4 linked regions of the Arabidopsis thaliana genome follow. The protein of the gene in region 2 interacts with the protein of the main gene of each other region in a pairwise test. Each region holds a gene or a part of one and is shown on either strand. Other genes may lie near its edges. The genes, in order: GAI, NIMIN-2, TCP11 and MYB21.

The links.
Region 1: the proteins of NIMIN-2 (region 2) and GAI interact in binary tests that used the Arabidopsis thaliana proteins (3 or more experiments, as listed by UniProt).
Region 3: the proteins of NIMIN-2 (region 2) and TCP11 interact in binary tests that used the Arabidopsis thaliana proteins (3 or more experiments, as listed by UniProt).
Region 4: the proteins of NIMIN-2 (region 2) and MYB21 interact in binary tests that used the Arabidopsis thaliana proteins (3 or more experiments, as listed by UniProt).

Annotation. Positions count from the first base shown.
Region 1 is NC_003070.9:5,147,190-5,155,762, reverse strand, and holds GAI (GRAS family transcription factor family protein), read right to left. Parts: upstream 6,782-8,573; 5' UTR 6,350-6,781; coding exon 4,748-6,349; 3' UTR 4,348-4,747; downstream 1-4,347. Other genes in the region: AT1G14940 (Polyketide cyclase/dehydrase and lipid transport superfamily protein), read left to right, coding at 251-437, 708-988; AT1G14930 (Polyketide cyclase/dehydrase and lipid transport superfamily protein), read left to right, coding at 2,728-2,914, 3,018-3,298. UniProt on the Arabidopsis thaliana protein: Transcriptional regulator that acts as a repressor of the gibberellin (GA) signaling pathway. Transcription coactivator of the zinc finger transcription factors GAF1/IDD2 and ENY/IDD1 in regulation of gibberellin homeostasis and signaling.
Region 2 is NC_003074.8:9,468,235-9,475,238, forward strand, and holds NIMIN-2 (NIM1-interacting 2), read right to left. Parts: upstream 2,806-7,004; 5' UTR 2,656-2,805; coding exon 2,287-2,655; 3' UTR 2,123-2,286; downstream 1-2,122. Other genes in the region: AT3G25880 (NAD(P)-binding Rossmann-fold superfamily protein), read right to left, coding at 1,358-1,379, 1,486-1,641, 1,753-1,799.
Region 3 is NC_003076.8:2,677,090-2,684,592, forward strand, and holds TCP11 (TCP family transcription factor), read left to right. Parts: upstream 1-3,311; 5' UTR 3,312-3,738; coding exon 3,739-4,458; 3' UTR 4,459-4,904; downstream 4,905-7,503. Other genes in the region: AT5G08320 (E2F-associated phosphoprotein), read left to right, coding at 64-94, 506-671, 1,259-1,514; ATSTE14B (Isoprenylcysteine carboxyl methyltransferase (ICMT) family), read left to right, coding at 5,923-6,516; AT5G08340 (Nucleotidylyl transferase superfamily protein), read left to right, coding at 6,812-7,056, 7,200-7,252, 7,441-7,503. UniProt on the Arabidopsis thaliana protein: Transcription factor involved in the regulation of the circadian clock. Acts as a repressor of CCA1 by binding to its promoter. No binding to the LHY promoter.
Region 4 is NC_003074.8:10,301,681-10,312,443, forward strand, and holds MYB21 (myb domain protein 21), read left to right. Parts: upstream 1-4,168; 5' UTR 4,169-5,915; coding exon 5,916-6,072; intron 6,073-6,320; exon of another isoform or gene 6,321-6,580; coding exon of another isoform or gene 6,581-6,590; coding exon 6,591-6,720; exon of another isoform or gene 6,721-6,723; intron 6,724-8,019; coding exon 8,020-8,413; 3' UTR 8,414-8,812; downstream 8,813-10,763. Other genes in the region: AT3G27809 (uncharacterized protein), read right to left, coding at 6,020-6,066, 6,604-6,703.

The sequences.
Region 1 (8,573 bases), on a different chromosome or scaffold from region 2:
ACTAAGCATTCATACTCAGGATCTAGTAGATGGTGAACAAATGATTTTTTTTAGCTCTAATTAAAAGAATTAAACCCTATATTTGAAGGAGACAATTATGTATAATGTTACATATACATATATATATATAGCCGTTTTGCTATTTGTAGTGTTGTGGTGAGTTTCGTGTATATAAAGGAAGTGCGACACTTGAGTATTTGCATCAAACAAAACACTTGACACATTTCAAAAGAAAACAATCAATCGAGAAATGGCAATGTCTGGAACATACGTGGCGGAGGTACCGCTTAAGGGATCGGCGGAGAAACACTACAAGAAGTGGAGGAACGAAAACCACGTCTTCCAGGATGCCGTCGGCCACCACATCCAAGGTTGCACTATGCATGACGGTGACTGGGACTCCCACGGCTCCATCAGATCATGGAATATCACATGCGGTCTCTACTTTACCTTCTCTCTTTTTTTGTAGTATTTTGGTAGTTTTAGATTTTTGGTCCATATATTTTTTGGGGCCAAGGAATAAGGTAGATAAGTCCTCTCCCAGATGTTGGTAGCTAGGCCTCGAACCTTCTCAAACTCTCCTCCAAGAGTTTCAAAGTAGGGCTACCGACACCGGGTGTCCACTCTCTTTAATCATGTTTGGTAATACGAGGATTGACGATCGGCTAATTTGGTCTAGCATTGTGTGTGTGTGTGTTTGTATGAAGATGGAAAGCCGGAAGTCTTCAAGGAGAAGAGAGAGATAGACGACGAAAAGATGGCGTTGACGTTGAAAGGGCTAGAGGGTCAAGCGATGGAGAAGTACAAGAAGTATGAGGTTATCTACCAGTTCATTCCCAAGTCGAAGGAAGGCTGCGTCTGCAAAATCACTCTCATATGGGAAAAGCGCAACGAAAACTCCCCCGAACCCATCAACTACATGAAGTTTGTCAAGAGCTTAGTTGCTGACATGGACGACCACGTCCTCAATGGCCAGAACAAAGCTTGAATCCCCTCTATGGTCATCGTCGAATGGTCTTCATCTTTATGTGTGTGTATCTTTTGTGTATCTTTACGTACGTACGTGACTTATCATCCGCCTCTTTCCCCCTTTATACATGTTATGCTAATAATAATGGCGGTCTTGGAAGCCTATGTATCATCTCTGTTTGATGATTACATGTTGTTATGATGTTTTCGTGGTGTAAGTGTGTGTTCGTAATAAAATAGTAATTGTAAGACGTAAAATAGCCCATAATATTAGGATGTATATATATACCCTCAATCGTCATTATCTATCACATAAGTATCTTCACTAAAATAGGTAACCTTTTCAAGAAGCAGATCAATTGACAATTTAATTTTGCTCCAACCTTATCATCTCTTGTATAATTTTTGGATGTGCATTTATGAGAATCTCAATGTGATTTATGCGATCACTCCTTAATTTGTTTGATGATTGGACTCGCAACACTATGAAGTTGGTATAATTATAACGTTTCATCTCAACGAAGTGACTAATTCATCTCAAAGTAGTCTTCATGGAAACAATATGATCCCTACCATGCAGTGCTAATGTTTAATACTAGGTTTCCTTTTCTTTTCATATATCACATTGAGATTCTCATAAATGCATATTCACTATGATCGTCATAATAAACGTCTTATACAAGATCGTAAAAAAATTATTCTCGTTTACCGTAAAGTCTTTTAACTAAAAAAGGGGAATATTGAAATATTCATGCATGTGGGTGTGATAATTAAGAAGTACGAACGATATGACCAAAAAAAGATAACCAAGTAAAGACTGAAATTTAGAAATCTATAACAATCTGCAGCTTTTACAAAGAAAGAATAAACTAAACATAGATACCCTAAATAGATTATTCTAATACGTACTAAAAAACTTATAAAACCTGAACACTCTACATATATTCTTAATTATATTATATACAAAATACTAATATATATTGGATAATCATTAATCCCACATTTTATCATAAACTCGGATCAATCCAATTCCAACATTGATTCATATGTGGGAATATCAATATATGCATAACTAATTTTGATGGACACGTTTCGTATCTAATTGAAGGACAGTTTTCAGTTGTTATATATTCATATTTTATGTAAATTAAAGATACTTCTTAAGTCGATGGTTATAACATAAAAGGGTGCTTGTGTCAAAACAAAACAAAAATAGGTTCAAAGAATCTATAAGTGTGAGGTAATTTGGACATGACGACACATGGGATACACATGTGGAGCATATCACTATGACATCTATGGTCATTAAATAACGCAAAACCCTCTTGCCCGTCTATTTCGCCCTACTTTTCTTGCTTCTTTTTATCCAGTTAATAATCTGTTATGTGTTATCTATTAATAATGACATATTCCAACCAATTCAAACCTTATATTCAAGCGCTTACAAACTATCCTTACGTATACATTTCTTTAACTTTCACTTAAAATAAAACAATTATTTGGTTAAAAGTCACTTAAAATGGTACGGATGGACTAAGCATTTCATATTCAGGATTTAGCAAATGTTAAACGAATGAAATCTTTATCTTATAGTTTAAAAGATATAAACCACCTATAATTAAATCTTTATCGCCATAATTTCGTTTCTTGTTAGTGTTGTGGTGAGTCTTAATTTGTATATAAAGGAAGCGCAACACTTGGGTTTTTCCATCGAATAAAACACTTGACACATTTCAAAAGAAAACAATCAATCAAGAAATGGCGATGTCAGGAAAATACGTGGCGGAAGTACCGCTGAAAGGGTCGGCGGAGAAACACTACAGGCGATGGAGGAGCCAAAACAATCTCTTCCCGGACGCCATCGGCCACCATGTCCAAGGCGTCACCGTCCACGATGGCGACTGGGACTCCCACGGCTCCATCAAATCCTGGAACTACACACTTGGTCCATACTTTACTCTATCTCTTTCTGTGTTTGGTAACACGCGAGGATTGGATGATATCTATATATTCTAATGTGGACTAAAAATGTGTGTGTGTGTATGAAGATGGGAAGCCGGAAGTCATCAAGGAGAAAAGAGAGATAGACGACGAGAAGATGGCGTTGACGTTCAGAGGACTAGAGGGTCATGTGATGGAGAAGTACAAGAAGTATGAGGTTATCTTACAGTTCATTCCCAAGTCGAACGAAGGCTGCGTCTGCAAAGTCACTCTGATATGGGAGAATCGCAACGAAGACTCCCCCGAACCCATCAACTACATGAAGTTTGTCAAGAGCTTAGTTGCTGATATGGATGACCACATCCTCAAGGGCCAGAACAAAGCTTAATAACCCTCCATGGTCATCGTCGTAAATCATCCTCATGCATGTGTCTTTTGTACTTGTCTCGTAAGTGCCTTTATCATCCGCCTTTACATGTTATGCTAATAATAATGGCGGTCTTGTTAAGCAATTGTATTGTATGCTTATGTATACCATCTCTGTCTGTGATGTTATTATGCGTGTTCGTAATAAAATAAGTGTGTTAGTTATACGATTTTGTGTAAGATATAAAGCGGATGTATGTTAGTCATTTAGTCTCATGACTCTCATTATCCATCTCCTAATAAAAATTTCATCAAAATAGATAAAGAAAGTTTTTCACGAGGGGAGAGAGATTGATTAACCAAAATCCAAAATATCCATAATTCTGAAACAAAATCAAACACATACAAAAGTAAATATGCAAATATATTTTTCCGCCTAAAGACTCTCACGTCTCCTCCTCTCCCTTCTATAGAACGTATAAACCCTAGATTTTAGAACCCTCTGTTTTGCCAATTGACCAATTCCCACCTCAAAGTTGCTATCTTTTTTTCTGAACCATTTCTACTTGTTTTGGGATTTTTACTAAGGCCCATTAGCACTTATTCGGCCCATATATGTGGGGTAGCAAAAGTTGACTATAATCAACCATCAAACCGCCCTCGTGCCCTTTTTATACATCACAAAGGATCAAATGTCACAGTCACTCAACTATATAATACCAAAGGGTCACGAGTGAAGTCTAGTCTACTACCACCACTGTCGAATGTTTTTTTATCTCTTAAACAAGTTCGTAAACCAACTTCAATTGCTGTCAAAAAAAAAAAAAAAAAACTTCAGTCTTTTATTTACGAAGAACATCAACATCTCCCATTTTTACATATGTGGAATTATTTATGTGCAGTTGATGTTGAACAATATAATCCGCCTACTCTTTTTTTTTTTTAGGTGACATATATAATCGCCTACTATATCTTTCAGATACATGTATTAAAGGTGGACATTTGTATCTTTTCGGTTTCTTTTGTTTACTTTTCTTCTTTCAAATTAACAAATAAGAAAACTGAAAACGACTTAGCATTGTTAAAATAATCTGGTCCACCTATAATACCATGCACATTAAAAGAGCATATTCATGAGAATCAGCACATTATCATAAGAGACAGTTTAATCAGGCTCATTAGTCATTACAATGAATTTTATAGATGGTGACACTCAAGATGATTTTATTTCAACCAATTGCACATACTTGGTAACACATACTTCTATTTCTGCCTATCCAATTTACCCTCCAATGTCACATGCAAAAAAAAAAAACTCTCCAAAGCGAGATTAAAATTTTTCAATTACCTAATATAATGAAAGATAAGATCTTAACAAGTGACAAAGGGAAAAACAGTAGGATTTAGTTTGGCTTCGGTCGGAAATCTATCATCATAACCGGTTCAACAGATCAATTCATTGAGCCACCATCTAATTGGTGGAGAGTTTCCAAGCCGAGGTGGCTATGAGCGGTCGTGTGTGCCAACCCAACATGAGACAGCCGTCACTCTCCTCCACCCGATAACCCTCACCGCCGTTGAACAGAGCCAAAAGCATACTCGCTTGCTTAAACGCATTCGAACCAATATGTGCAGCCGCAAACCCAGCAGACCCGAACCGGTTCCTCCACTGACTCAACGTTTCATGACGCTCAACTCGGTCAGGTCCATCACAAGCCACAACGTTGCAGATCTGTTTACCCAAGTAAACCTCCGACATGACCTTGTCTTGACCACTCGGTACACCTTCCAACGAGTCAAACAACGTCGAGTAATAATGCAACGACTCAGTAAACCGATCTAAGAAAATCGGACTATTATGGTTCGATTCCTGCTCAACCACAGTGAAAATCTCCGGTTTAATCTGATTCACCACACCAAGAACCTTATCGATCGCACCAGGTCGTCCCAAGAGCTTGTGAAGCTCGAAAACAGAGTTAACCGCAACAGATTCAATCTCACTTGGTCTAAGCTCAAGCATCGAAGCATCAAGATCAGCTAAAGTGTTAGCCACAAATCCTCTGTACTCAAACTCAACGTGAATCGCCTCAGCTAAATGAGCCAGCTTACACCCAACTTCATGAAGATAATCGAAATTATCCGGTGCCGGTGGACCAATTCCGGTTAACCGGAAAACAGGAGGACCACCAGGTCGAAGCGCAAGAGCCTGCATAAGCGCCGGCCATTGAAGACCTTGACTCATAGAGAAATCAATGACATGAACTCTTTTCTTCCCTTGAAAAGCTTCGAGAATCGCTTGATTCGCCGTGAAGTGAGCGAACTTGAGATAAGGACAAGTCTCGTAGAAGTGCATCTGAAGAGTATCGGAGAGAGAGTGGTCGATTGGACTCTGCGACGGAGAGAGACGGTAAATCCGCCGCGCGAGAGCTTCGGCGAAGTAAGTAGCGACTTTTCTCATCGCTCCGATTTGAGAAACGGCTAAGAATCCGATTTGCTTCACCAGAGCTTCCGCTACAGTCAGATTCTCTTTCTGAACAGCTTCAGCGCAAGCCAAAAGCGCGTGAACGAGACGCACACCGTTCTCCTGCGAGTCAACCAGGACAACATGCCGAGTTGACTCAGCCGTCGCTGTAGTGGTTTCCACGACGCCGTTTGAGCATTTCAACCGCTTGTTTGTAGTATACGTATCTCCTCCGCCGCCTTGGTTAGACGAAGAAGCCGAATCGATAGCGAACTGATTGAGAATCGCGTCACCGGGAATAGCTTTAAGATCGTACTCGGCGTTAGACGACGGAGGATTAAGGTCGGTGAGCATAGAATCAAGCCACGTGTAAAGCTCCGCCGGATTATAGTGAACAGTCTCAGTAGCGAGTTGAGAAAGATCGTCTTCTTGAACATTAGACATCATAACTTCAAGCTGCTCGAGTTTCTGAGCAACATCAGCCATTTCGGATGACCTAACCTTGTAACCAAGAACAGCTAGAAGCTCATCCATGCCGTTACCGTCGTCTTCTTCATTCATCATCATAGTCTTCTTATCTTGATGATGATGATGATGATGATCTCTCTTCATGGTTGGTTTTTTTTCAGAGATGGATCTAAAAGGTTTTTCCTTCAATGTCGGATCTAGGTTTTGCTTTATTTGGGAAGGTGAAGAATCTTTAGCTTCGGGGATCGGTTAGGACTGCTTAGGATTTGTTTTTTCACTCCACTACCACTTCTAATAACAAAATAAATTGTAAAAATAGAGAGGAAGGTTATAAGAAAAAAAATGATTATTATTGTTGAGAATAAAAAGGCTCGTGATGGGGCTCGATGTCCGATGAATCATGGATCAGAGGGCTAACAGCAACATCTACAGCTCAAAGAGATAAGGCTGAAAATCACACACACACCAAAATTTGTAATTAGGGAATATATTGAAATTAATAAACTAATATATTAGGGAATATATAGCTTTTTACAGATTAATATTTTCTAAAGTTAGTATTACTTTAGAGTTTAGATGGTCATACAATTTTGAACAACTAAAAAGATTGTCATGCAACTAGTGGTACAATTTACTTTTTGTCGCTTTTTTAAGGAGTTTGTTGTGTTGGTTTTGTGTGATTGTAACTTTTGATCTAAAATACAGATATTTTTTATTAAAAAGTTTAAGTATTTAGTATAGTCTTATTAAATAAAATGGAACTTTTGTATTGGGAAAAGTAAACCATCATTAAACCCATTATGGAAATTAATATTCCATTTTATTAAAAAGAGATTGAGGGACTATGACGTTTTCCCGTTTTAGTTTTAAATTGTTAAAAAATTTAAATTGAATATAAGAAAAAGCTCCTTTTCTAACATTTTTTATAAGATCTTTAAAAAAAAAATTAAACCTTATTAGTATTTATCTGTAAGAGTGGATAAGAACTAGTAACATTTTCATTAATTACAAAAGACTTTTATATTTGTTCTTTGGATGGGGAACTAAAAGCTTTCATCATACTGTTTGAGTGCCCTAGCCTTCCCCTTTGTAATAATGTAGGCATGTTTCGAGCAAGGGGGTAGAAAAGTAAACTGCAGTATATATAAACCCATTTCAAAATAACAGTAATTATCAAATAGTAGCATTCAGTCTTTACACTTAAATAGCATTCACTATTTTGTCAATTACATGTTACGATAGAGTTAAGTTGTAATCGTTTCTTTTTAAAGTATAGTCTCGATTTTTTTTGCTATTTGTAGATAAAATTGGTTAATACAATTGTAGTATGTACTTAACGCCGTCGCTTACGGCAACTATTCTTAAATCATAATAAGATTACACAGATCAGAAAATAACAATTAGTCCCACTAATTAATGTCTTACAAAAATATTCGAAATTATTTTCGTGAAAATCAGAACTGACAACATGTGATTGGGTCCACGTGTAAAACGGGTCCCTTGAACTTACCGTACGCCATTTAGACTGTGGTCCCAAAGATCCCATGTGATTATTACACGTCTCTAAAGTATTTTTATACGCTAGGCCCTGATGAGAATTGAGATGACCATTCCCACCGTTGACGGCTCTTCGTATGGACCATCTCAATTAACGCTGTGCTACATGGTTGGTTACATGTTCTTGTGTTCCACGAATAATTATGCTCCGTTACATCATTTTCTCACAAAAAAAAAAAAACTGTTTATATTTTTAGCCACTTCACAAAAATTTATCAGATGGTATAATGGATCATTTCAATGTATATATACTATTACTTACGGAGTATAGAGTGACGTCGATAGTATTGGATTAAACATGCACCATGTCAATGTGTAATGTGTTACAAATTCGGTAGGTATAATTATTAATTTACTAGCAAAGAGAAAAAGACATCCAAAGTTTTTTACTTTGATTGGTTATCGTCATACTTGATATCAAGTGCTCTCGTTGATTAACCAAAAAAATTAAAGGTGCACTCATTGATTCCTTTATTTATTTTTTATAGTAGTAGAAGCTAACAAATGAAAATGGTGTCACATCATTCGTAATGAATATTTAGTCTGCTTTTTAGTCCAAACATTATTTTTTCTAAAGAAGTAATACAAGTCGTGATATATGTTAATTACATAAACAAGCCAATTTTAAACAAGTAAAATTGGATTACTGAATTCTTGAAATACTAGGCATTTTTGGAACAAAAAAAAAAAGGAAGAATAACTTGGGTTTACAAGATTGTTTGAGTCTTTTTGAAATAGTGAAAAAAGTGTCTCTTAACAAATTTCAATGATAGAGAACCATGCATACGCATCGGCACAAAATAGATGGACC
Region 2 (7,004 bases):
TTAAAGTATCATAGGAAAGAACGAGATAGCACGTCATATTAAAATGGATGGATGTGATTCACACTTGCACAATTCTCGTCTTGCGCTAAATTTCTGTCCAATTTCGTCTGCCAACCTACAACTTACAAGGTCCAAAAGCCCTTTAATATAATTACGCATTATTAGTATTTTCCAATGTCAAGAAAACAATAAATGGACTATAACTCTCTGCTTAATGCCTAAAGGGCTAGAACAATTAGTCAATTAGTGGATAGACGATTTTTTAGAGGTTTAAATAGTTTTCAAATAAAAATAAAATATATTTCTGTATTAATATAACATAATAAAAACAAGTTAATAGAAATAAATTGTATATTTTAAATTAATCAAAATACATAAGCAAGAAATATGAGTATTCAGTATTCACTAATTTTAAAATACATAAATTTAAAAGCATTAGGCTAAATTCACCTATCTTACCAAAATCTATCTAATACAATTAATCTGCATGATAACTGGATAATCTGCTAAATCTAACTAGCTACTTAAGAGGTGGTGATCTACGCCTAGAACGTCTAATCATGATTTAGGAGATTTTAAGCGGCTACACATTTACAACATAACATATTATAAATATTATATTATAAATAAAATTCATAGAAAACTATCTCTTAGAAAAATAAAAATATGAAATTATAAACAAAACTTAGATAAAACCATTTATAATTCATAGCAAACAATATATACAAAGCTAAAACTTATAATTTAAATTGATATAGTTGGAAACAAACAATATATACAAAGCTAAAACTTATAATTTAAATTTATATAGTTGGAAACAAACAATATATACAAAGCTAAAACTTATAATTTAAATTTATATAGTTGAAAACTAAAAAATAAACTAAAATAAAACTTATGGAATTTTAGACAGCCAAAACGGTTATTTAGATATCACATAAACGTCTAAAATCTAGATGACGATCAACTAGGGATGTCAGACGGGCGAGCACGCGACCAAATGGGGGGTCCGTGATGGCCCGTGCTTCTTTTCCATAAGTGGTGGTCCGGTCCGCCAACGACCACATGCGACCAATCGAAGCCCATATTCGCCTCGCAATGTCCATTGGTCTAACGGTCTGGCCCGCAATCCTGTTCTGTTCTAGTTGTCTCTGAAACACACTGTGTTGTTCTCGTCTCTGAAACACAGTGTTGTTCTCGTCTCTGAAACCTTCGCTTATGGAGAACTTCTGTTCTATTGCATGCCTTTGAAGACAAGAGACTTTGACCGTAATAAATGGTTATTCCACAAGTTTTGTAATTCTGTGTTATCACCAAACACAAACTGTTCAGTCTACTCCATCGTTAATATCTAGGTTCACCATTGAATCTTCCACCAGCTATAACCAAACAACGACGAAAAAGAGATGTCATAACTATTTAACTACACAAATAGCATCTAAAAATAGCAACAAAAAAAATCAAAAACTAGTCATTACTTAGTACCTATGAAATTGTTTCCAAATGTCTCCAATTAGAACCTTGGATCCTTCAACGATGGTGATACTACCAACACCACCAAGGACGAGATTCTTCAAGGCATTGGAACCAATAGGACCACAATTGAGTAAACAGATACTCGCTTCTTCCAAAGTCCCTTGACTTCACCTCAAAATCCTAATCAATCAACGATTACTTCATAAAATTTCCTCCCAACAAGATTCGTTCGAAGATCGATAGAATAATACAAATGTAGAGTTCGAAGAGACTAACATAGTATACATGAGTTGACGATCGTACTTGGCTTTAGGTTCCATCATTGTTAGAGATGAGAGATCATATGTTCGTAAGTCGTAAACAGAGGAAGAAGAACAAGCGCGTCGTCCACAAGTCCGCAGACATTAATAGATAAACCATGACTAATCCACAATCCAAAGTTCCAAACGCACCCAACCCGCAATGCCCGCTCTTTTTTTGGACTCCCTTATACAGGCCCATACCTACTCTGCAATATTACTAAACGGGCCAGGCAAAGGCCCAATTGATATCTTTACCATCAACACTTTTTTAAAACATTGATTTTAGTAAAATTTATGTTGTTTAGGAACGTCAAACGCTTAAATAGCTTTTGTTTGACTTGTAGTTTTGCAAATATATAACTTCTCTTTTGACGTATAAAATAAAACTGAAGAATCTGAAATTTGGATAACATGTTAATAATCTTCTTTTACCATTTTTTTCAAAAGTATTGTAGTTAAAAAAAAATTGATTATTGTAAGAAGGGGAAAAACATGAAGGACTACAAGTCTACAACGATAAACTAACGCTGTCTGGTTCCGGTTTACAGTTCAGATCCAAACCCAAACCCTGTAACCCGACCCGATTAATCTCATCGAATTCTCCGTCTCGAACGCCGTTACAATCCAACGAGTTTCTCAACCCAAGATTCTGACTCCGTTTCCTCTTCTTAGACGGTAACTCTCCCTCAGCAACACCGCCGTTAACTTTCGCAACCGTTCGTGTCGCCACGTGTACTCTCCGTAATATCTTGAAAAACTCATCCACCTCTTCCTCCGTTACCGTCCGAACAACTTCCGTCGACGGTTTCCCTCTGTTACCGTCAGATTTTCCGTTATCTTCTTCTACGCGTTCTTCTTTCTTCAAAGAGTTGTTCATGTTAGCCAGAAGAAAATGTTAACGGCGTCGTTTAAGCTTAGTCAAGAAAAAATTATTTGCTGATTTTATTTTGCTAAAATTTATAATGAAACTCTTATAGCCGTCGGTGTGGAACTTAGACGGTCGATATTGTCAACAACTAAATAAATTGGACGGTGGAGATTGATGCTAATGACATCATCATGCGATGTTTTAAAGCGTAAGTATCATGACGTCACACTTTATTGACTTTTGGAATAAAGGAAGTCCATGTGTGGAAAAATTGGTATCGGCTATATTTTTAGAGTATATGTAAGAAATAACTTTTGACTTCAAAAGAATACACAAAATAACCTTGGACCAAATAGTATTTGTCGGCTACAGAAATTTTGGCAATAGTTAGTCTATTTTAGCCTTTCTCTTTCTTCTTCCTTCTTTTGTTTCTTTTTCATCTTCTTTACGAGACTTTAGCCATGGAGTTCTCTTTCTCTCTTCATCTTTAACACAATTCATCTTCTTCAGATTCACCATGTCATTTTCTTTTTCTATTTCTCTCTCCCTCTCCTAAAATAATCTTCACCACCTCTCATAAAATATATCATCATATCTCTTTATTTTGTTCACCTACATGTTCTCTCTTTCTTTTTCCATAGAAATCTCTCTATCTCTCATTCTTTATTTTCTCTTTTTACCTGAATTTTCCGTCAATGTCGTTGTGATATAAGAGATTAGATTTGATTTTAAAACAAATGTCTGATTTTAAAATGCATGTATTTTAAGAACAAAACATGTTATTAACACTGATATATTAATATTTGTCATGCTATCCAATAAAAACTCATGAAATAAATAAATATTTGTCATGTTATCCAATAAAAACCCATGTAATATTGTAACAATTCTATATGTTTTTTTAAACTTCGCGATCTATAAGAGAATTGCATGCTTTTTATAAATATTTCGTGCTATTTCTGAGAAACACATTATTTCAGAGAAACATATATATCGTGTATATATATTCTGTATGTATTTTAAAGAATTGCATGATTTTTGTAAATATATCATGCTATTTTAGACAAATACATATAAACTTTATAACTAAAGCCAATGGCATTATTGTAAAAATAAGTAAACACAAGGATATTTTTGTATTTTCTCTTTTTCAGAAAATGTTATTTACCTAACTTTTCTGACACAATGTCATTCTCTCAATTCTTTTCCATTTCATAGTTAGTTTCTAATATTACCCATATTTTTATATACATAGAGATCTATATTTTTATAATTTAACAAAGACCAAAAAAATTTGGCCAAACAACAAATAAATAAGGAAGACTAAGAACTTGTGAATTGTGATCATCGTTAACGTGGGGAAGATTTTCTTGCGATTATTATTCCTAGTCTTATTTATTTATTTATTTCCACTATCAATTTAAAATGACACGTAAATTTGTAATGATTTTTCGAATAATGTAAGCACTAATTGATATTGGTGTTTTAACTTTTAACAAAAGAAAACAAAGATCTACATATGGGCCTAAAGTAAAAGCCTTTTAGTTAAGTACATTATAATTGGGCTTTATATCTTAACAACGTCGAATCAATTGTAGGGCCGACGTGGGCGGCTAAGCTGTTTCCAACTTTCCAACTTCCGACCAGCTCCACTTGTGTCTTTCGCTCTCTCTACACTTATGTTTTTTTTTTTTCAACTCTCTGTTTTGTCTGACGTGTCCACTTACTAATAATTTTTGAAAAAACTTTCCACATATAAAAATTGCTTGATGGTCGTCGTCGATGGCTGCATTATTTATGAATGTATTAGTCCACATGGTGAAATGTCTACATTTTAAACACCACGTGACACTGATAATCCGACACTTGTATGTGTGAAATCAATGTAATGATCCCTTACTCTTTCTTTTTTGTTTTTCTTTCAATAGAACAAAAATATTGCGAATTTATCTAATAATGTTTCTGTAATACTAAAATTATTTTAAAAGTTTTTATTTAATATATTGTTAATTTGTCTAAATTTTGTCACGACCGTTTTTCTTCATGAATAGTCTTTGACGTAGTTGAACATCCATTTTGTATACACTGTTATAAATTTGCACACATTTTGTGTTTCAACAATTTTTAAAAAGTATATATGTAGTGTACAACTTTACTTTATTATTGCTTTACTTTTTTTTTGTCTATTGTCGTTGAAAAATGACATCAAATGAATCTGTTGCCTTCCTTACGTAGGAAACGTTTTGTTGAAATAGTAATAATTAGTAAGGGTCATTGTATATTGGTGGAGAAAATGTTTTTCTTACTTCTGTAATTGCATCGTCTTTTCTTCACGTAGGGTAGGCAATCACATGCATTCAGGCGTGCGTTCACTGTTTTCTTTTTTCTTCTAGCTTTTTGTTTTCCTACTATATTGTTGCAGAAAAATGTTTAGTTTAAACTAAATTAATTATCCAACTCTTTAAAGTGGCAATCTTGTAAATAAAAAGGGGAGTAGGTCTGGACCAATGTGGCAATGCGAGCGATATGTTAAAAAAGCTGTGGAATAAACAAAATTTTGGAAATTAGGAGTTCCTTTCGTTTTATGGAATTGAAAGAAAATGACACTTTCAATATTTTTTTGGTATTTCTTTAGTAAAAAATGTTTTAAATTTTTAATCGATCGAATCGTAATGAACCTTACAAAAAAATCATAAAATTTGAAGTTGATATATAAATTTTAATCTAGAGATGTTAACTTTTTGGATTAATCTGGAAGCGACCTGTTTTAAGTTGTTTCAAAACTATTAGGACCGAAACCAAATAGAATCGAGCAAAAAATGTTAGAAATTTTTATTTTATTTTGTGTTCTTTAGGTTAACCAAATGTTCGTTCATGGTGTAAGATATCAAATAATGGATGAGCTTAACCTCTAAAATACAAGTTTAAATTGATCGGTTCAAATCGGACCGAACTTAAATGATTTTGCAAGTTATTAGAGTGATCATGATCATGTTATGTTACGGAATATTACAGAGTAACTTAACTTAAGCACTGACTTAGTTGACCCAAAAAGAGACCATTGACTTCATGAAATGCTTGAGTGTGGAAAAAATAAAACAGAGTTATTCAAAAACGTTTTGAGTTGTGAATTATTCTCATTAACATTGTATTTATTTGGTGCACAAAAAAAAAAAAAAAAAAAATTGTATTTATTTATACCCACTAAAGATGGGAAGAAGACTTGTAAATTATGATGAAAAGTCCCTCGGTTGGTAGCAACTAGCAAATGTGGGGATGGAACAATCCTCCACGTTCGAAATTGTTCTTCTTTAGCACAATCAAGATACTGCAAAGTAAACTACCTCTAATGTAATTAATTAACCTCACAAATTGTTATGTTAATTAATGGTATTGAATTATACTCGTCGATCTTTTGTAAGATATTTTTGTTGAATGCCGAAAAAATTATCAGAATCTATAATTGATGTTTTTGTTTAAGAGTCAATTTGGGAGAATGAGTTAAATTACTATAGAATACAAGTATACATCACATCAAATAATATGAATAATTCACTAAACAATGAAGGAGTAGTTACTAGTCACTCTCTTTTATTTATTTTTAATTAAAAAACGAATATATATGTTATTGTAGTTTAATACTATTAATAAAATAAAATTCTATTACTTCACTTAGCTAAAAGACCCACAGTGCAGTAACAGTGAGAAGTAAATTTCATGAATAATGTATTACAATACAATAATAACTTGTTCGATACAAAGTATTATTCCTTTCACAAACTAAATTTATTTACCATATATCCATAATATAATTCCAAAAATAGTATGTTTTATTACCATATTGTAAAAGGGAAAAATGTCATTTAAATCATCACTTTACCATTTTCGTTGGTTTAAAACATAAACTCTCGATTTGGTGATTTAAATCCTCAATTTTATGTTGACGTTTAATTTAATCACGAATTCTCGTTAACTAAGCCAATTAAGACACATCGTTAAAAAATTTTCTAATTAAAATTTTTGAGTTTTTCTCTATTTTTCTTCAGAATCTCTTATCTTCTTTGGAATTTCTCTTCTTATTCGAATTCAAAGTAATCTTTCATCTTTAGGTCGATTGACGATACCGGGAAAAAAAATTGTGTCTCAATTGGCTTAGTCAACGAGAATTTGTAATTAAATTGAAAATCAACATCAAATTAAGAATTTAATTCACAAGATCCAAAATTCATACTTTAAACCAACGAAAATGATAAAGTGATAATTTAAAAAACATTTTCCTTATCCCTATTGTAAAACTATTTTCACCAATCTTAACCGAAAAAATGAAATAAAACTGTCCAAAAAAAAAAAACCAAATG
Region 3 (7,503 bases), on a different chromosome or scaffold from region 2:
GAGCTAAGCTTAACCAAGAGCTGTCGTATATTACACTAGCAGTGAAGATCGAATCTTAAAACCATGGCTTCTCCGACCAATTCACAGAAAACAGGTAAAATAAAACCTTTAATACGCTCAAACCCTTTCACTCGCTGGCCGATTCGACTCAATCCCTTTGTTGTTTCGTTCCTTCATCCATGGATTTCTCATAGGTTTCGGTTAATATGATCTCTCTTTTGCTTTTTTTGTCATCCATCGTATTGAGACCTTGAGCTATTTAGTATTTAGCTAAGTTTCTGAATCTTTATGGTGTAATTGATGTTGCTATTCGTAAGCTAATTGATGCCATAGATTGCGAAAAGAGAAGTTGTTTCTTCAGTATTCAAGAGATTTGTGTTCTTGTGTTCAAGTTTAGATTTCAAGTTATTTTGTAATAATGTGGAATCAGAAGGACAAGTATGTCTATTTTCTGTATATTGATTTGATGAGGCCTAACTTCTTCTTGTCTACTACCTTGTAACAGTTTCGGATGACGAGGAAGTTGATTACTCCATCAAACCGGAGTTCTATGATTCAGATATTGATGATAAAGATGAGCTTTGGATGGATAAGAAGAGAGATGGTCGTACTTCTGATGCTCTTCTTAGCTGTCCAGCTTGTTTCACCACTGTCTGCTTAGAGTGTCAGAGGTATTTTCCTCTCTCAACATCAGAACTTGGTGTTTTATCTTCATACGATTGTTATATCCCATCCAGGCTTTGCTTTCTCAATGTTGCTAGGGCTCCATTGTTCAATCCTCACCAATGTGTTTGCTAATATATTGATAGTAACTTGCTAGATTCTGGAATGTTGACTTGATTATGAGATTCTTGACAATTGTTACAGGCTCTAGGTTTTTGTTAGGAATGACAATCTTGGTAGAATCCAAACCAGTTATATGACTTGATTAACGAGAAAAATTTCTACTCTCAGTCCAATTCCCAATCCCAAAACCCATAGGTAAATCCAGAACTACCTTTTCTAGCTGCTAGCTCTGTAGCTAACTAACTCAAAGATTGCTGATACAACTACTATCCACTACACACCGCCTAGGCTATTACAACACTCATGCGATAGACTAATATAAGGACTTTATCACAATGGATTTCTTTCTTTCCTCTTCAATCCGATGATATTGTTTTGTTTATGACTTGATCCCTTTGCACTTCTTTGAACTTGGTTTTAGTATTATAAACTGCGGAACCAAATTAAGACAATCTGAGTAAAACTTTTGCAGGCACGAGCAGTATGTGACACAGTACAGAGCAGTCTTTGTGGTCAATTGCAAAGTAGGTACAGACACAGTTTTGCAACAGAATACAATGCCCTTAAAGGTTGGTAAAAGAAGGAGAGATTCCGAGATGCAAGAAACTGGTTCTGAAGATAGCGAAAAAGTTAACCCGGTCTTTTGCTCAGCTTGTTCCACAGAGATCGGAGTAGTTGACAGTGAAGAGATCTACCATTTCTTTAATGTCATTCCAAGCGAGCCTTAAAACAACCTGGTTTTATGAGTTATTTGTAACGAGTTCTAAACAGGTGATTAGGATTAAAGTTTCGATTGTTTGCGTTAATCTTTACGTTGCATGTATATCGTTTGATAAAAATCAAGTCACTAGAGAATTTTGAGTTATACCAAAGTCAGAATCGTTCACAGTTCACATGATTAGTAATTTAGTATCAAACAAATACCAAATACAACAAACTACAAAGCGAGTTGGTCTCTGAACGTCTTTTAGTCACGCTAGTCAAATAGATGGCAGAAGATAAAGCGATCCTCTCAGTTTAAAAAAACGAGATGACGTGGATTATTCTGATTGGTGGAGTAAGCTAAGAAAATCTAGAGAGGCATCGCCAAATGAGAAAACTAGAAAAGAAGATATTTGTATGAAACACGAGTTGATTCTCTTTTGACAGAAGTGTCACTTTCTTGTATTTTCGTCCACCAACCCCCATACTAATAATTCTATACAAATTCCCATTAATAAATAAAGGCAGATGAGAATGGGCTCCAGCTGTTTAACACATTTGACAATTGTCAAATGATTCGTACACATATTACTATTTTAAAATAAAATAAAAAGATTAGAATATACTATAAGCATTTTTGGTAAATTGGTGATCATTAAAAATTTCTATGCATTTATCCAGCTAACCCCACAACTAATCATTCAAATCCCAGTTAATCACTCAATATAACTTTTAACATGCGCCGGTCATTAATAATTGTCAATTGTATCATACAATTTGTATGTAAGCTTTTGTGGCAACGTTTTCTTTTAAGAACTAGCTAGTTCAATTGAATCCTAGCAAGTAGCTACGAAATGTGACTAAAATTTCTCTACGAGTCTCTAGTTTGGTGGTTCCTCAGCTGTGCGTCGTAGTTTCAAGTTTTTACTATCTATCATACTTTAAGCATGCACAAAAATATTCTTTTCATCGCTTTTGATAGCACCTTCACGTATTATATCGACAACTTTAAGAAGTTGGCTTGGGTATAGTTTTTAAAAAAAGGCATTTAAACATCACTCATGGTTGTATCGTATGGGTACGGCAATCATCATAACAATTATTTCTGTTAAAGGATTTCACAATCATATAACAAATATTAAGACGATAATATAGTATAATGTGCATTATATATTCATCATGAAAGAAATTATTGTCGCGAAACAATTTAAAAAATCTCGACGCAACGACATATCAAAATCGGCATATCTGCCAGGTGGGCACGGCTACTTTTATTATGCCACGCTCCAAATGGAATGATTTGTTTTATTATTGCTTAATGGGTAATAAGAATTTTGATTATACAAATTGCACACACGAACGCATATCGTGTGGGGGTCACAGTGGTTGGGTTATACTCAGATTAGTAACCTGTGTCATAAAGCGCGTAATTGTCATTTCTTTTATTTGAGCTATTTATTTATCCTAGAAGTTAAATAAAAAATAAAAAATAAGAGACAATCACAAATTAGTAGATGTGAAATTATAAATGACTAAAAATAAATAAATTAAAATCGTACAAAATAGAATCGTAATCAGTGTAGGTGTAAAGTATACTCACCAATCAATTACCACCATTGATTGTCTCTTATTCCTCATCTTTTCAACTATTGTGGAAACTGGAAACAGCTTTTGTCTTAATTGCAATCTAATTTCCCTACATCCTATAAAATGCATTAAACTCATGAGGTAAACGTGTATGATTACTGTGGTTACAAAGCATAAAACATATACTACTTCATTCTAAAACAAATTTTATCGATAAGAAATAAAGGTAAAAATCAGCATTGTTGTGGTTACATGTCACAGAAGTAATAAGAATTAGTAAAAACCAAAATCGAATTCATATTATTCTTGTAACGCTACTTATTTTCTACGAATCCTAATTACTCGTAAATTAGCTAATGTAATTCAAGCAACCATATAAATGGGGACCCCAACTAACTCCTAAACCTAAAAACTTAAATTCTCCTGCCCGACCGTGGTCCAACGCTATAGTCAACACCGGAGTCAAGCGCGTGAGCTTCAACCGCGTCCGGACAAATTAAAAAAACCTAGCAGAAGTGAGCTGTGTGGGACCCCACCAGCCATGTGCTCTCCTTCCTGTCTCCACCAGCCTAGCTTCCTCTCAAATCATTACCTCCTTCTTCTTCTTCTTCTTCTTCTTCTCCTCGAGAGAGAGTTAGATAGTGATAACGAAATCCTAATTCCATGGCCGACAACGACGGAGCAGTGAGTAACGGCATCATAGTCGAGCAGACGTCAAACAAAGGACCTCTTAACGCCGTTAAGAAACCACCGTCTAAAGATCGACACAGCAAAGTTGACGGAAGAGGAAGAAGGATTCGTATGCCAATCATTTGCGCAGCTCGAGTTTTTCAATTGACCAGAGAGTTAGGTCACAAGTCCGATGGTCAAACCATAGAGTGGCTTCTCCGTCAAGCTGAGCCTTCTATCATAGCCGCCACTGGAACTGGCACTACTCCGGCGAGTTTCTCCACTGCTTCTCTCTCCACTTCTTCTCCGTTTACTCTCGGGAAACGTGTCGTCAGAGCGGAGGAAGGAGAATCCGGCGGCGGAGGAGGAGGAGGGTTAACAGTGGGACACACAATGGGGACTTCGTTAATGGGTGGTGGTGGTTCTGGTGGGTTTTGGGCTGTTCCGGCGAGGCCGGATTTCGGACAAGTCTGGAGCTTTGCAACCGGAGCTCCACCGGAAATGGTTTTTGCGCAGCAGCAGCAACCAGCTACACTCTTCGTCCGCCACCAGCAGCAACAGCAAGCTTCCGCCGCCGCAGCAGCTGCAATGGGTGAGGCTTCAGCAGCTAGAGTTGGGAATTATCTTCCGGGTCATCATCTCAATTTGCTTGCTTCTTTGTCTGGTGGAGCTAACGGGTCGGGTCGGAGGGAAGACGACCACGAACCACGTTGAGAAATGGTATTGTCTTTTTGGTAATGTATAGAAAAATTCCTATGTTTTATGTCATCGAAAGTGTTTAGAAAGTACCTCTAATTTGCGGTTTCTTTTGCTCCTTTTTTACTTAATTTAAGCTTATTGCTTGTTTGATTAGGGTTTTAGGGTTTAAGAATATTTGGTCTCGTTAATTTGTTTCGGAGAGTGATAGAAAGAGAGAGAGATTGATTGATTGTTGTACCTAAAACGCTATAAAAGCTCTGTTTTTACTAGCGAAACAGAGAAGTCGTTTAACTAGTGATCATTGCCATTCAATCAAGTCTCTTTAGAAAACTAAAGAAACAGCAAAAGAAACAAATTTGAAGTTGTCCCGTTAGTTTTAAGCATGAATTCTATTATGGTTCGTTCGTTAATGAAGTTGTCCCACTATTTACTCTTTCGTAGTAAAGGAAACAAATTTGAACTCGGGTTAACGGAGCCGGTCCGGATGATAATTCAGGTTCCACCAAAAACTTTTAAAACTAATAACAAGCCCATCCACTATCCAGAGCAGTATAATCGTAAGCTTCAAACACAAAAGAAATACTTCAATTTAACTCATCGTTATCAGTTATAACCGGAACAAACCGATAGGGGACCATTGGATCAAACCGTCTCGAACCGGTAACCCTAAAATAGTCTGGTTCTTGAAATTTCGGTGATCCTGCAACGTTTCTTCTCATCGATTTTGACCGGAAGCTCCTTGATTCAAACAAGACTTTTCTTATCGGGGAAGATCAGACGGAACAGAAGAGATCTCTGTGTTTACAAAAGTAATTCCTTGATTATAGCAAGCAAAGAATAAAGGGTAAAGGTGTAGACTTTGCTTCTCTCCTTCAAAGTCCACGCGATTCTCACTGTCAGCCTCTGCGAAATTTCCAGTCTTTCTCGCATTTTCCCTCGTAGCAGCCGTCAATTTCAACTGGGTATGTCTTAGATCTTCGTAGCGTTTACGGTTCCTGCTCAATTCTTCGTTTCTCGTGGTTTGACAGTTGAGTTACAGAAAACGAGGACGAAAAGCCTAATTGAAGAAATTAGTGATTAGAATTTTGTGATTCCGTGAAATTTTAGTATTAGTAAGTATAGACAGAATAGAAAAAAATCCCGTACTATTCATCAGCTATACATATCTGTTTGTAATTCTTTGAGTAAGATCTTCAATTCTCATGTGAAAACTGTGTTTTGAATGCTTGTCATAGATCAATTGTTGGATTAAGAAACATTGTAGTTTAGTGTTAGAAGAACATTAATGTGAGATTTGTTACATTGATTGACATTAGTGTTCCTGTGATTTGGTTTTAAAAAATCTTTGGTGAAGTGAGTTGGATTGGATTTTACTTGAATGCTTGTTGTTTCCCATCTTTTGGCTAATGATGTTCTTTGACCTTCTCGGGTCTGTTACTCGCATGTTTTTTCAGGTCTAAGTAATCTTGTGAAGACTCAATGACAGAGATATTTAGTGACACCGGGTTCAGACAGTTAACTCAAATGTTCCTGGCGATAATCTTCTTCCACACATCGGAGTACATTCTCGCCATAGCCATTCACGGAGCATCGAAAGTAACTTTAAGCTCACTCTTAATCAGCAAACACTATGCTTTAGCAATGCTAATATCAGTCCTCGAGTACATAGCCGAGATTGTTTTCTTCCCGGGGCTGAAACAACACTGGTGGATCAGCAATTTCGGTCTTACAATGATCATACTTGGAGAAATCCTTCGCAAAACCGCGATAATCACAGCAGGTAGATCGTTCACACACCTTATAAAAATTCGCCGGGAGGAGCATCATAAGCTTGTGACAGAAGGAGTGTATCAAATCATGAGGCATCCGAGTTACTCCGGGTTTCTCATTTGGTCTGTGGGAACGCAAGTAATGCTCTGTAATCCAATTTCAGCGATTGCGTTTGCGGTTGTGGTGTGGCGGTTCTTTGCAGAGAGAATACCTTATGAGGAGCATTACTTGAAGCAATTTTTTGGGAGACAGTATGTGGAGTATGCGCAGAGAGTTCCTTCTGGTGTTCCTTTTGTAAACTGATCCTTAGATCAATTGTGAACATATACGAGCATTGTTTGATTACCTTTTACATAGAAAATTATGAAAGAGATGTTGTTACTCATGTTTTCAGTTAATGTTCTCTTGTCAATGTCTTTGTGTTTCTTTTTTTTTATTGCTAAATAATTTGGATATTATTCCAAAGACTCTGCCTGAGCCAGAGGTTTATGCTTATGAACATAAAATTTGACCACTGGGTTTTAAAAGTGATTTAGCTCCGGCGAAGAGTCTCTCCGTGAGAGCGAGCTTGTCCGATTTGTAAGCACGAGACGGAACCATGTTGTGCGGAGGCTCACGTGTCTTGCAGCATTTGTCCGACCACAATCATCATAATTCGATTGGTTTAGGATTAGGGTTTTGTGGTGCTAAGATTGTGCAGCTCTCTTCATTCTTTCTCAGGCCTTCTCAGGCTATGGCGAAGAGTCATCATTTCAGCCGTAAATTGCGTCAGCGGATGATTTCTTCATTTGGGTCTCATTGCAGAACATCCGGAGAAGTCCCAATTCTTCACAATTGTTTCAGGTTTTGTTTCTCTCCTTGATTTGGTATATCTGATTCTTAAGTGTCATTGTCGAGATTTATGTTTCTGGACTCGAAAGAGAGATCTTTAATTAATTCATCTGACTGATGTTAAATTCGGGGTCTTTTGCTTTCTTCTACTGAAGCCAACGAGAAGATGATCCTGAGCTTCCAGTTGAAGGGTTATCTCCAGTGTCAGGTATCTATCTAGCTTGCTTGTTTCTTGCATCTTCATTCAATTTCCTAAGAAAAGTCACACCTTTCTACTCTTTGATGGGGATTTTGTGGTTACTGTGCGGTTCCTTTCCTTTTGGAAAGAGCTTTAGTATACATTTGGTAGAAGAATAGATGTTAGCTCATGATCATCTGATGCATAATATGTTGCAGGAGGCATTGTTGCTCTAGGGAAGTTTGATGCCTTACATATCGGCCATCGAGAGCTTACAATTC
Region 4 (10,763 bases), 830 kb from region 2:
AAATACAAAAGGCCACACTTATCAGTCTTGCCAATATTCAAAATATGATCCAACTTCTTTGTGCCATTATTAAACATCCTCAAATTCTTTTGAGTTTTTTCAAGTTTTACTTTAGCTTGTGATGCTTCTTCTTCTTTCTCTACAGCAAATTTTGGTGTTTCAACAAGTTTAACTTCTAATTGAGCTTCTCCTTAGTTAACACTGAATTCTCCTCAACTACCTTATGACAATGCTCATATAAGGCTTTCTAATTCTCAGCAAACTCTTCATCACTAATACTTGCAGCAACATCATCACTTTGATCATTATCACTTCCAGTTTCAGGTCCTGTGGTAGACACTATTGTTGACCCTGATGCAGACTCTATTGTAGACTCTGAAGCAGACTCAAAAGTTGTATACGCCACAAAATTCTTCAGATCTTCTTCTTCATCTCAATCAGTTTCAGAATCACTAGTGAAGACATTGATAACCTTTTTTTATGCTTGTGTAGATTGGCACATTCAGAACGAACATGTCCATATCCTTTGCATTTAAAACACTGCACATTCTTTGATAAACTTCTCAACTCTTCATCAATTTTATCCTTCTGTTTGTAAATAGGTTATATTTGCTTTCTTTTTCTAGTGAAATCGAAATCTGAACGTGGTCTCGGGGAGTAGGAAAAACTAAACCTCATTAACAAATTTATTGTCTCGTTTATTTTGTACACTTGATTATTGCTTCTTCTGCACTTACATAACTCAGTTTTTATTTTAATAGTCGAAACTAGTCTCAACGATGTTTAGAAATGTGGTTTAAACACTTCTTGGGAGAAACACCACAATTTAACATCAAAACATGCATCTAGTGTAGTAACGCTACGTGCATAGATCAGAATTTTAATTTCTCTTAGATTGATATTCAATAGAACTGTATAAGATATTGCGCTGAAGAAGAATCTTCTGACTATATGCATACTTACTGACATCAAGAAGTGCATACCAACTTCATCAATAACATCATGAACGGCATGAAGGTAACTAAGTACCAAACCAAAACATAATTGTCAATCTTTTCACGTCTAACACAAACGATACATCCTCATACTTCATTTTGTTTCAAGAAATAATAAATCATATCTAATTACTAATGCATACTTTCGGTGTCTAAGTTTCGGGCTTATAATATTAAAGATGAAAGTTAGTGTCTCTTAGAAATTCATACTGCAACGTTAAAATCCAAAACATATATTTGTGTGGATATAAATTTTGATCACTCGAGAAATATTTCTTTTAAGGATTTAAACTTTCGCACTAAAAAATCCATATACAAAAATAATGAGAAATTAGTATTTTCTTGATTTGATGAATGAATGTAAAGGTGTAGCATATAGTTTCTAAGTTTTGAAGCAGGTATCCTCTGCGTCCACCTTCCTTTTCTTTTAATACTCTTCTTCCTCAATCTTCTGCATTAAATACCTTAATTACATTTGATTATCCGGTTATAATTTGATATCCAAATTTTGTAATGGTTTATTGACTATAGGTTTTTATAGACCGTTTAACTTAGTTATCTCGAACTAAACCTATTTTAAGAGTATATCCGAGTTAATATCATTTTTAAACTGTGATATATGTAATTCCGTTCGAGTCGGATTAACATGTCGAGATCAGACACCAACAATTCATAACATAATATACCTATATTTTCCAAATTTGAGTAATTTAATTAATTCACCCTAGATAATTTGAAGGGGTTTTTCTTTTCTTTTTTTCAGAAGTAATATTAAGGGTTATATACGTAAATCTCAGCAAATTACAGTCTTGTGTTTTTTTCATGTTTTTTTGCCTAATGTAAACTCTAAAATCTTTGAATGTCGTACATGTTTCTCCACAAAGATTTTTTTTTGCGATATAAAAGATTACATACTAATTTATGCATTAAGAACAAACAAGTTTCTACATCAATTATTCTACAATTTACAGCTGTTGATAATCAGATTTTTTTATATGAAAAATTGCTTTAGAAAAAATAATAAAACATGAAGAACTATATATATATATATATATCTTTTAATTATATATATTATAAAAGCTTTCAGTTTTTAATAAGATTCGTTAAGCTTAAGTGGTAAAAAAAAATACTTTTAAACTTGGAAACAATATTTTAGAACTCTTAATTAATTAATTACACACGTAATTAGTTGTTGGGGTCACATAGTCACATGCGTGTGTTGTTCCTTCTCTCAAGGTCCCCCACACACATCTAATTGATGATCCTAGGCTTGTCACTCTTATAGCCACTCATACAAATGAAGCTTAAGCCACTTGACATTGCCATTAAACTCCATAAGCTTTGTTTTTTTTCCACTTACAGGCTTCCATTAAATCTTCCATTACATTACATAACAGAAAAGCAAAACACTTTTGCCCTTTTTAGACATTTGCTTATTGTGAAGGTGTGAAGAGTCCACGTTTCTAGTTTATGTTTCTTTGAAGATTCCTCTTCTCCACGCGCCTCTTTACGCGTATTCTATTACCGACTTCTTCCTTAGTTAGTGTGTACGACAAACAATTACAATTTCTTTTTCGATTACAAAATTGGAACCACTATTCATATATTTAACACTAGGTTTTTAAGTTTCATCGAAGCTTCAGGCAGATCACTAAAGTGAGTCTAACCTTAGTAAATAAGGTTTTATAAGCTTGCCCACACGTAGACAGTAGACTCAATGTGGGATAAAACCGAATATGAAACTGTAGTAAGAAAAAAAACTTTTGTAAAGTTACGTCATGTTTTTTAAACCCAATACTATTGTATCACCACACGTATTTATTCACATTTTTCCGTTAACACTAAAAATCTTTTATTTTTGAAAGCGTAGCCAACCAATATTAGATAAAATTACTGCATAACTCGTTTAGTGTATTAGTAGATTTTTTTTAGTGTCTTTAAAAACACGAGTTCAAGTTTAGATAATAGAGAACATTTTGATAGAGTATTTATACTAGAATTTTCACACATATGAAAACGAATATAATTTTGGAAATTTTAAATTTTCTCTTTTCAAAAACAAATTAACAGAAGATGTTAGTTTGTAATATGTTGGTAATTGTGATTTTCAAAGTTTTAAATTCTGGAATTTTCAATTACAATTTTCTACTTGGTGTACATAAAGCTTGTAGTAAATTTGTTAATTCGGAAGTTAATGGATTTTTTGTAACAAGAAAATAAAAATGATTAGTACTTGAGAGTTGACATTAGCCAGTAGGGAAGTGCATATAACGCGCTTAAGAGGGAAGTAATTAAGAAAAGAGTCGTTTCCACTTAATTAAATCGTAGCCACAAATAATGGGGTTTCTTAAAAATGGCTTAAGTGTACTTAAACTTTTGTATGATACGCCAAATTATGTGCCCTTTCAAATATGGAAACTATTTAGTTATGCTTTAACGAGTAGGTTTTCAATCACTCATAACCCTTGCTATAAAATCTAAAATATATCATTTTTATTTTATTTTGCAAATATGAAAATCTAATGGTCTTATTAGCTCCATAGATCATTCACCTCCTCAAAGATAACATAGTTATTATTATTTTTTAAAGTTACTTATCAAATAAAAGTGCACCAATTCAGATGTTTGGTATACGGGTCCGGTACCATGGACTTGGCCCTTGGGTCTACCCATATTCGACTCGTACCCAAACGTTTATTTTGTTCTTTTCAATTGAACTAACAAACTAAGCATCTTAAGTATAAAAAAATCGTTAATTGTAATGTAAAAGCCAAAAACCAACAGACAAATATTGATTTTTGCGTTTGTGCTTAACATAATTATTTAATGAAAAAATTATATGTTTTAATTTTATAACTCAAAACCTATTTCTTAAACTGATGTTGAATTGTCGAAAAACTAAATTAATAATGTTGGCAGATATATATGGTCACGTCAAAGTCTATCTAATCAGGACTTTTGTTTTTAATCTTGATAAACGCATGTTATCGCATTAAAAATGAAAAGAGATGGGATGTGGCAACAAAAGCAAGTATTTGCTACTTGAAGTGTGAAGGACCATACATTTGATTAATTTTGGATGTGTTTTTGGTTAGGAATTAGTCACTTTTCACTTTAAGATAATGGATTTCGAATTTGGTTGGGATTAGAGTGAGATAACTTTTTAGAGTGTCAAGATCGTCGCGTCTCCATCTTAATTTGTACTTTCTTTGTCATGTTCTTAATTTGTTTACTAATAGAGTATAATAAGTTCAGTTACCTACAATTAATTAAGTTAATTTGGCGTCATTATTTATTACTATAAAGTAGTAAACTAATGTACTTTTATCGATTTCTTTATGAGACATGCCCTACTACAAAAGCATATAAAGATCATTGAGTTGTTGAAGTACATAGCAAATTTATTCTACCAATTTAATTACCATCCAATCTTTTTTTCGTCAACTATGACTTGAATATATGGACAATATGGTTGACTAAAGAAACGACAAGGAGTCTCATGCCGAAAACTTAGTACGTCGAGGCTTGTGTGTGGTAACGATGGAAGAAATAGATTGAGAAAAAAAAGTGAAACGGCAAGCAGTCTGTTTATGAAGTCTTTGGATCTCTTAAACCGGGCTTTGTCCAAAATTAGAATGGAAAAAAAAAAAGAAGGATCCCTTAAACCGGTAAGCAACCCGATTAAATTCAATATGTGTACAGAAACTTAATTTGATTTTTTTATAAAATTTAAATCAAGACTAATATGGAGACTTACAAAAGTTAATTATATGAATTGTATGTTACAGATTGAGTGCGAAAGGATGTTCCACGTTCAATCCACTAGCGAAACAAAAAAATCATTTATTTAACTGATTGTCTTCGTAAGTTTACTTAGTAATATCATGTTGAAACATTAAATCTGATATATGTGCCACTATGTAAATCATTTAGTTAACTTATAATTGAAACAAGAAATGTTATGTGTGCCACTATGTAACTTTTATTAGTACATATATAAAGGAAATAGCGTTTAATAAATCGACTGCTAATCTAAAACTAACAAGATAATTAATTATGATCACTAAGCTTCATTCTAACAAATCAGTTTATAGAGGACAAGAAAGCTTATAATTACTCCACCTTCTTTTGTCTTTTTGTTTGTGAAAGAGAAATATCTGATGGTAAAAAAGCCCAAGAAGACCTCCTCTCTACACCTTTAAAGTTTATGCAAATTTAGAAACAAACAAAACGGACCACTATAGCTAATTATCTTATATAGATAAGATATGTAGAAGGAGGGATATACATATGTATAATAACAATCTTGATATATAACTTCCATCATCCATGGTTAAGATTGTAACACCATGAGTTGGTGCGAGGATAATTCATATATACAAACCAAAAATCACGCGTATGTATGTTATTGCATGCATGTCTTGCATCATCCATGCATGAATGCATCAAAGAGTCTCCAGTCTTTAATATACATATCTACATGGATGGATGAAAGTCATGAAACCATGTTATTAAAACCCTTTTTCAAAACAAATAATAATGAAACCATGTTGTTATAATTGGTTAGGTTTGAAGAGATATACATAGATAGTCCCCATGCATGTGTTATTAGTAGTGTTTAGGATGAAAATAACCCCTAATACATAAATTAATTTTATGATTAATTAACACTCTAAGATTAAGGTAAAACATAATTAATTAAGACTTTAGATTAATTAAGGGTTAGTAATCACGCGGTGAATTTAGTCTCTATAAAAGCAGTACCTCACCTTCCACAACCTTCAATATCAACTCACCCACATCTTTCTCTCTTATTCTCTCACTCTTTTTTTTTTATATTCCTCTCTCTCTAAATCTATAAAATATATTTAAAAACTTGATCGTATATAATAAAGTAAATAAAGAATAATAACAAAAAAAATGGAGAAAAGAGGAGGAGGAAGTAGTGGAGGTTCGGGATCATCAGCAGAAGCAGAAGTGAGAAAAGGACCATGGACGATGGAAGAAGATCTTATTCTTATCAACTATATCGCCAACCACGGCGATGGTGTTTGGAATTCTCTCGCCAAATCTGCAGGTTCGTTTAATTTCTTCTTAAAATCAAATTCAATTATTTATAGTTATATACATATATGGTGTATGAACTAGGGTTTCGTCATAACATGCAAAGGTATATATCCTATACGACAAAAGCAGACTTTTTTTTTGTTAAGGTAAAATACTTTTTCTTACGTACGTTCATTTCTTTTATATATAAATCTATCTACACAGATATTAATTATATTTTCATAACTAGATTTTTTTTTTAAACGTGTATATATATATGCTCTATTATATTCGTTCTTTGTTAAAGAATCAATCTAAATATTAAAACGTTTTCATGTGTTGGATACTTGGATATATGATGCTTTAATGATGGCCTAGTGGTAGAGTAAAATAATGTAAAATACTTTTTTAAAACATCAAAAATAAATGATACACGTATTTTTATACTCATATGTCATATGTGCTACTACTAATTATAATTATGTGAATATATATCCACGTAGTAAGAGTCATATTGATTGTGATGATTGATAATATGAATGTATATAGGTCTAAAACGAACCGGGAAAAGTTGCCGGCTCCGGTGGCTGAACTATCTCCGCCCCGACGTACGACGGGGAAACATCACTCCAGAAGAGCAACTTATCATCATGGAACTTCATGCTAAGTGGGGAAACAGGTTGGTTTTAATTTACTTGTCGTAGAATATATATAAACAATTATATATACATACATATACACTATGTGTAACTAGAGAAAAAGACAAACAAAGGCAAATTCTTCCAACTTTGAATCGTTTATATACTCTGAAGCTGCCAATATGCCACGTAAATCTATGAAAAGACAAGAAAGCAAGACATTTGGTGACTAAAGCAAAAAGTGTTTATTTCCTTTGTGATAAGCTTGATCGAAGTTTGTTCTTAGACGTAGCTAAGAGTTTTTGTGCACGTGTCAAATTTTCTTAGCCACTCACATTAAACCTCGTGGGTTTTATCAAAATAACATTTGAAAATCGTGCCTATTTCTCCTCCATGCTCATGCGTCAGCGTCGACATGGCTAGATTTTTCCCCAATATTTTTATTTTTATTTTTTTGAAGTATATAAGTGTGTCAAATTTATTCAAGTGATTTCCCACGTTTCTGGAAGATATTTTTCTTTAATTTATCTATGTTTTTTATTCGAATTCTATATTTATTTGTTTTATATGTATATAGAGCTGGAAAATATGGCCCAAAGTACAAGGTACATGATTCTCTAATTCAACAAATTAAATGGTATATTTTGTTTTTAAGTAAGTGCGAATAGACTTACATATTTTATCATCTAAACTAGTATAGTTATATATATATATATATATTTTTTTATAGTATAGTTTCATGTTATCTGCAATTAACTAATTACGAATTTGATTCTTATTATTTAAGGTCAAAATTTTATCAAGGGAAGAACCAAAAAATATTCATTTAATTTGTATTTTCATAATTCTTTTATTTAAATTTTCAGTTATTTTATAAGTTACTCTTTTTGGGTTGGTTTTAAACTAGTTTCATTTTCCTAATCTCTACAGTTTAATTGACATCTAGCTTTTATCAGTTAATCTTAGAAGTACCGTTTATTAACACTTTTAACAAACAAACAAAAAATTGTAACGCTTTTAAGTTTTAACAACAAATAAATTATATAATTTATAAGGCTTATCAGAAAGAAAGAAAAAAATAATCTAGAAATTGAAAAAGATCCAAACATTGTACATGTAATAATAGTACAAAACCAAAAAGCCTAGCTCATGACAGACACAACTGAAATAGACGTAAACCTTAATGTTTTGGCTTCATCTAGACGTACTAACTTTGGTCCTATGCATTCGCATATTAAATCTCTTTACCCCACAACAATCATTAGCTCATCATAATAAACTAACACTAATAGTTAAATAATGATGTCACTAATGCAATTTCCTCTTAATTGTATGATTAGGTGGTCGAAAATCGCCAAACATCTTCCAGGAAGAACGGACAACGAGATCAAAAATTTCTGGAGGACAAGAATTCAAAAATACATCAAGCAATCGGATGTAACAACAACATCGTCCGTTGGATCTCATCATAGCTCAGAGATCAACGATCAAGCTGCAAGCACGTCGAGCCATAATGTCTTTTGTACACAAGATCAAGCGATGGAGACTTATTCTCCTACACCGACATCATATCAACATACCAATATGGAATTCAACTATGGTAACTATTCGGCCGCGGCAGTGACGGCAACCGTGGATTATCCAGTACCGATGACCGTTGATGATCAAACCGGTGAAAACTATTGGGGCATGGATGATATTTGGTCATCAATGCATTTATTGAATGGTAATTGATTGATCGGTGGACAAAACATGGAATATTAATTGAGTATTATATATGATTTTTAGGAGTACTATTATTAGTACGTGACATGTATATGTTTTTGCCTCGTTGTAGAGGTTTGGGGTTATAATTAATATATAATGTTATCTAATATGCAACCTTGATACATATTTGGATCTTTATTGAACCCATGTTATACATAAATAAAATTGTTGAAGGGGTCATATTTCCGGATATCTTTTGTTTTATTGAAGTAATTTTTCTTAGGAATGTTCGTACGTACCATGTATATATGAGAACATCATTTAGTTTTGTTTTGTTGATGACCTATGAATCTATGATTAGTTTAATGTATATATCATATAAAAGTTGTTATTTACTCCCTCCGCTAGAGGTTTTCACATATATTATAAAGCATACCAAAATATAATGTCAAATTATAATCATAATATAATTACTATATTGGATACTTTTAAATTACGATAAAACATTAAAAGTTATACAAAAGATGGGTTTGGTAAAATATAAATCCGCTATACATAAAAATTAACAAAACATCAATTTTCATAAAGCAACAAATAAGTTTATAACATGGTCAAATTGTTTTTGTGCAATCTATAACATGATCCTTTAATGAATTTGTTAATTTCTGTGAAAAGGTAATAATTGTATTTGTAAAGTACTCTTAAGTTTAAGTGACTCTGAATTCAGTGCAAATGATTGCACCAACCTCGTAAGATGCACTTTTCTTAATTTTACAACCATAATGTATGCGGCGGATCTTAAACAAAAGCCTTTATCCGCATATATATCTCATGTCATACTCGACCAGTACAATTATCCGTTAACCAATTGATATAGTTACATAAGAATTTATAGTTAAACACATCATATAATTTGTATACAGTTTTTCTTTTTCTGGAAGGTTAAATCAGAGCAAGACGTCAAAGCAATAAGGTTAAAACAGAGCAATAATTTTAGGTGTATGATCAAATCGAGAAGCACCTTCAATGTTCATCCATATATATATGCAAACACATACACTGATACACATATGAGTTAGGCATGTATATACATATACATAATACATGTAACATGTGGATCGATGTGTGTACATATCACATGACGTACTCATCATGAAACATATAGCACCTACTCTTACCAATCGCAATAAGACACGTATCACATTGATGCTCAAAATAGAAAGTTTTTGGTACAGTTCACGTTGCCTTTATTCAACAATTTTTATCCATTTTTGGGCATCGCCATTCAACATGTAGAACCCGACGTGAGCCTAACTCCACGAATCAAAACCACAACCTTTAAGATGAAGATATCAACTTATCTTAGTTAATAAATGAATAGAAATAAACAATGGTTCAGTTTGATTGATATTTCTATCCATATATTCTTCAAAACCATAAATATTTATACTTAAAACATGGGATGAAAAATAAGTTTCAATAAGGTAGGAACATGTACATATATTGAGCCGCAATGATATAGATTGACTATATGACATAAGTTCGTAGAAATGTGTAATTTATATTTATTATATGTATAAATTGGGTAGAATAATTTGGAAATTGGGACATGATGTTAGGTTTGGAAGTGTAAGCACTATAGCGAGACGGCAAAAGCATTAAAAGCTTTACCGAACTTTTTAACTTTAGTCTTTAAGCAACGACACATTTTGTCCCAATGAAGCATGTGTAAAGGATAAATCCAAGCTCCACTTCCTCTTCTCTATGCATTGGCTAGAATAGGAATAATTCATATATATTCCAATTATTATTAACTTTTTTTAAATTGGCAACCATGTTATGTATATAGTATCTTTATTATATTCACATTGCATGCTACACTATATATATTTCTTTTACATCTTGGTGTAGAAAAGTAGAAAACTCGCATTATGCTTATTTTAGATTCTCAACTACAAATTTAAATTCGAAATGGATGTGGAATTGGGCCACATGTTTATTTAATTGATTAGGCCAACGTTTTTATCATGTGGGAATTGTCGACTTCACATGTGAATAATAAAGGAAAAATCACATGGCGGGTCGGTCACAAACATACAAGTGGTTTATAATTTAGAAATGTAAATAAACGTGAAAGAATTGTTTTTTTTCTTTTAAATTCTCTTTATTTGTGTATTTGCTTGTTCATTGTTATAGCCTCATGCCTTAGCTGTACTTTCTGTATATAGCAAAAACCATTTTCTTCCCGTCTCAATGAGTTTGACATAATCTTTATTCAATGTTGAACAGTTGAAGTCGGCGAATATCTAAGAAGATTTTCATAACTATCGACTTACTAAATTATATCATGTGCAGTAACTATCTTTGAAATCAAAGA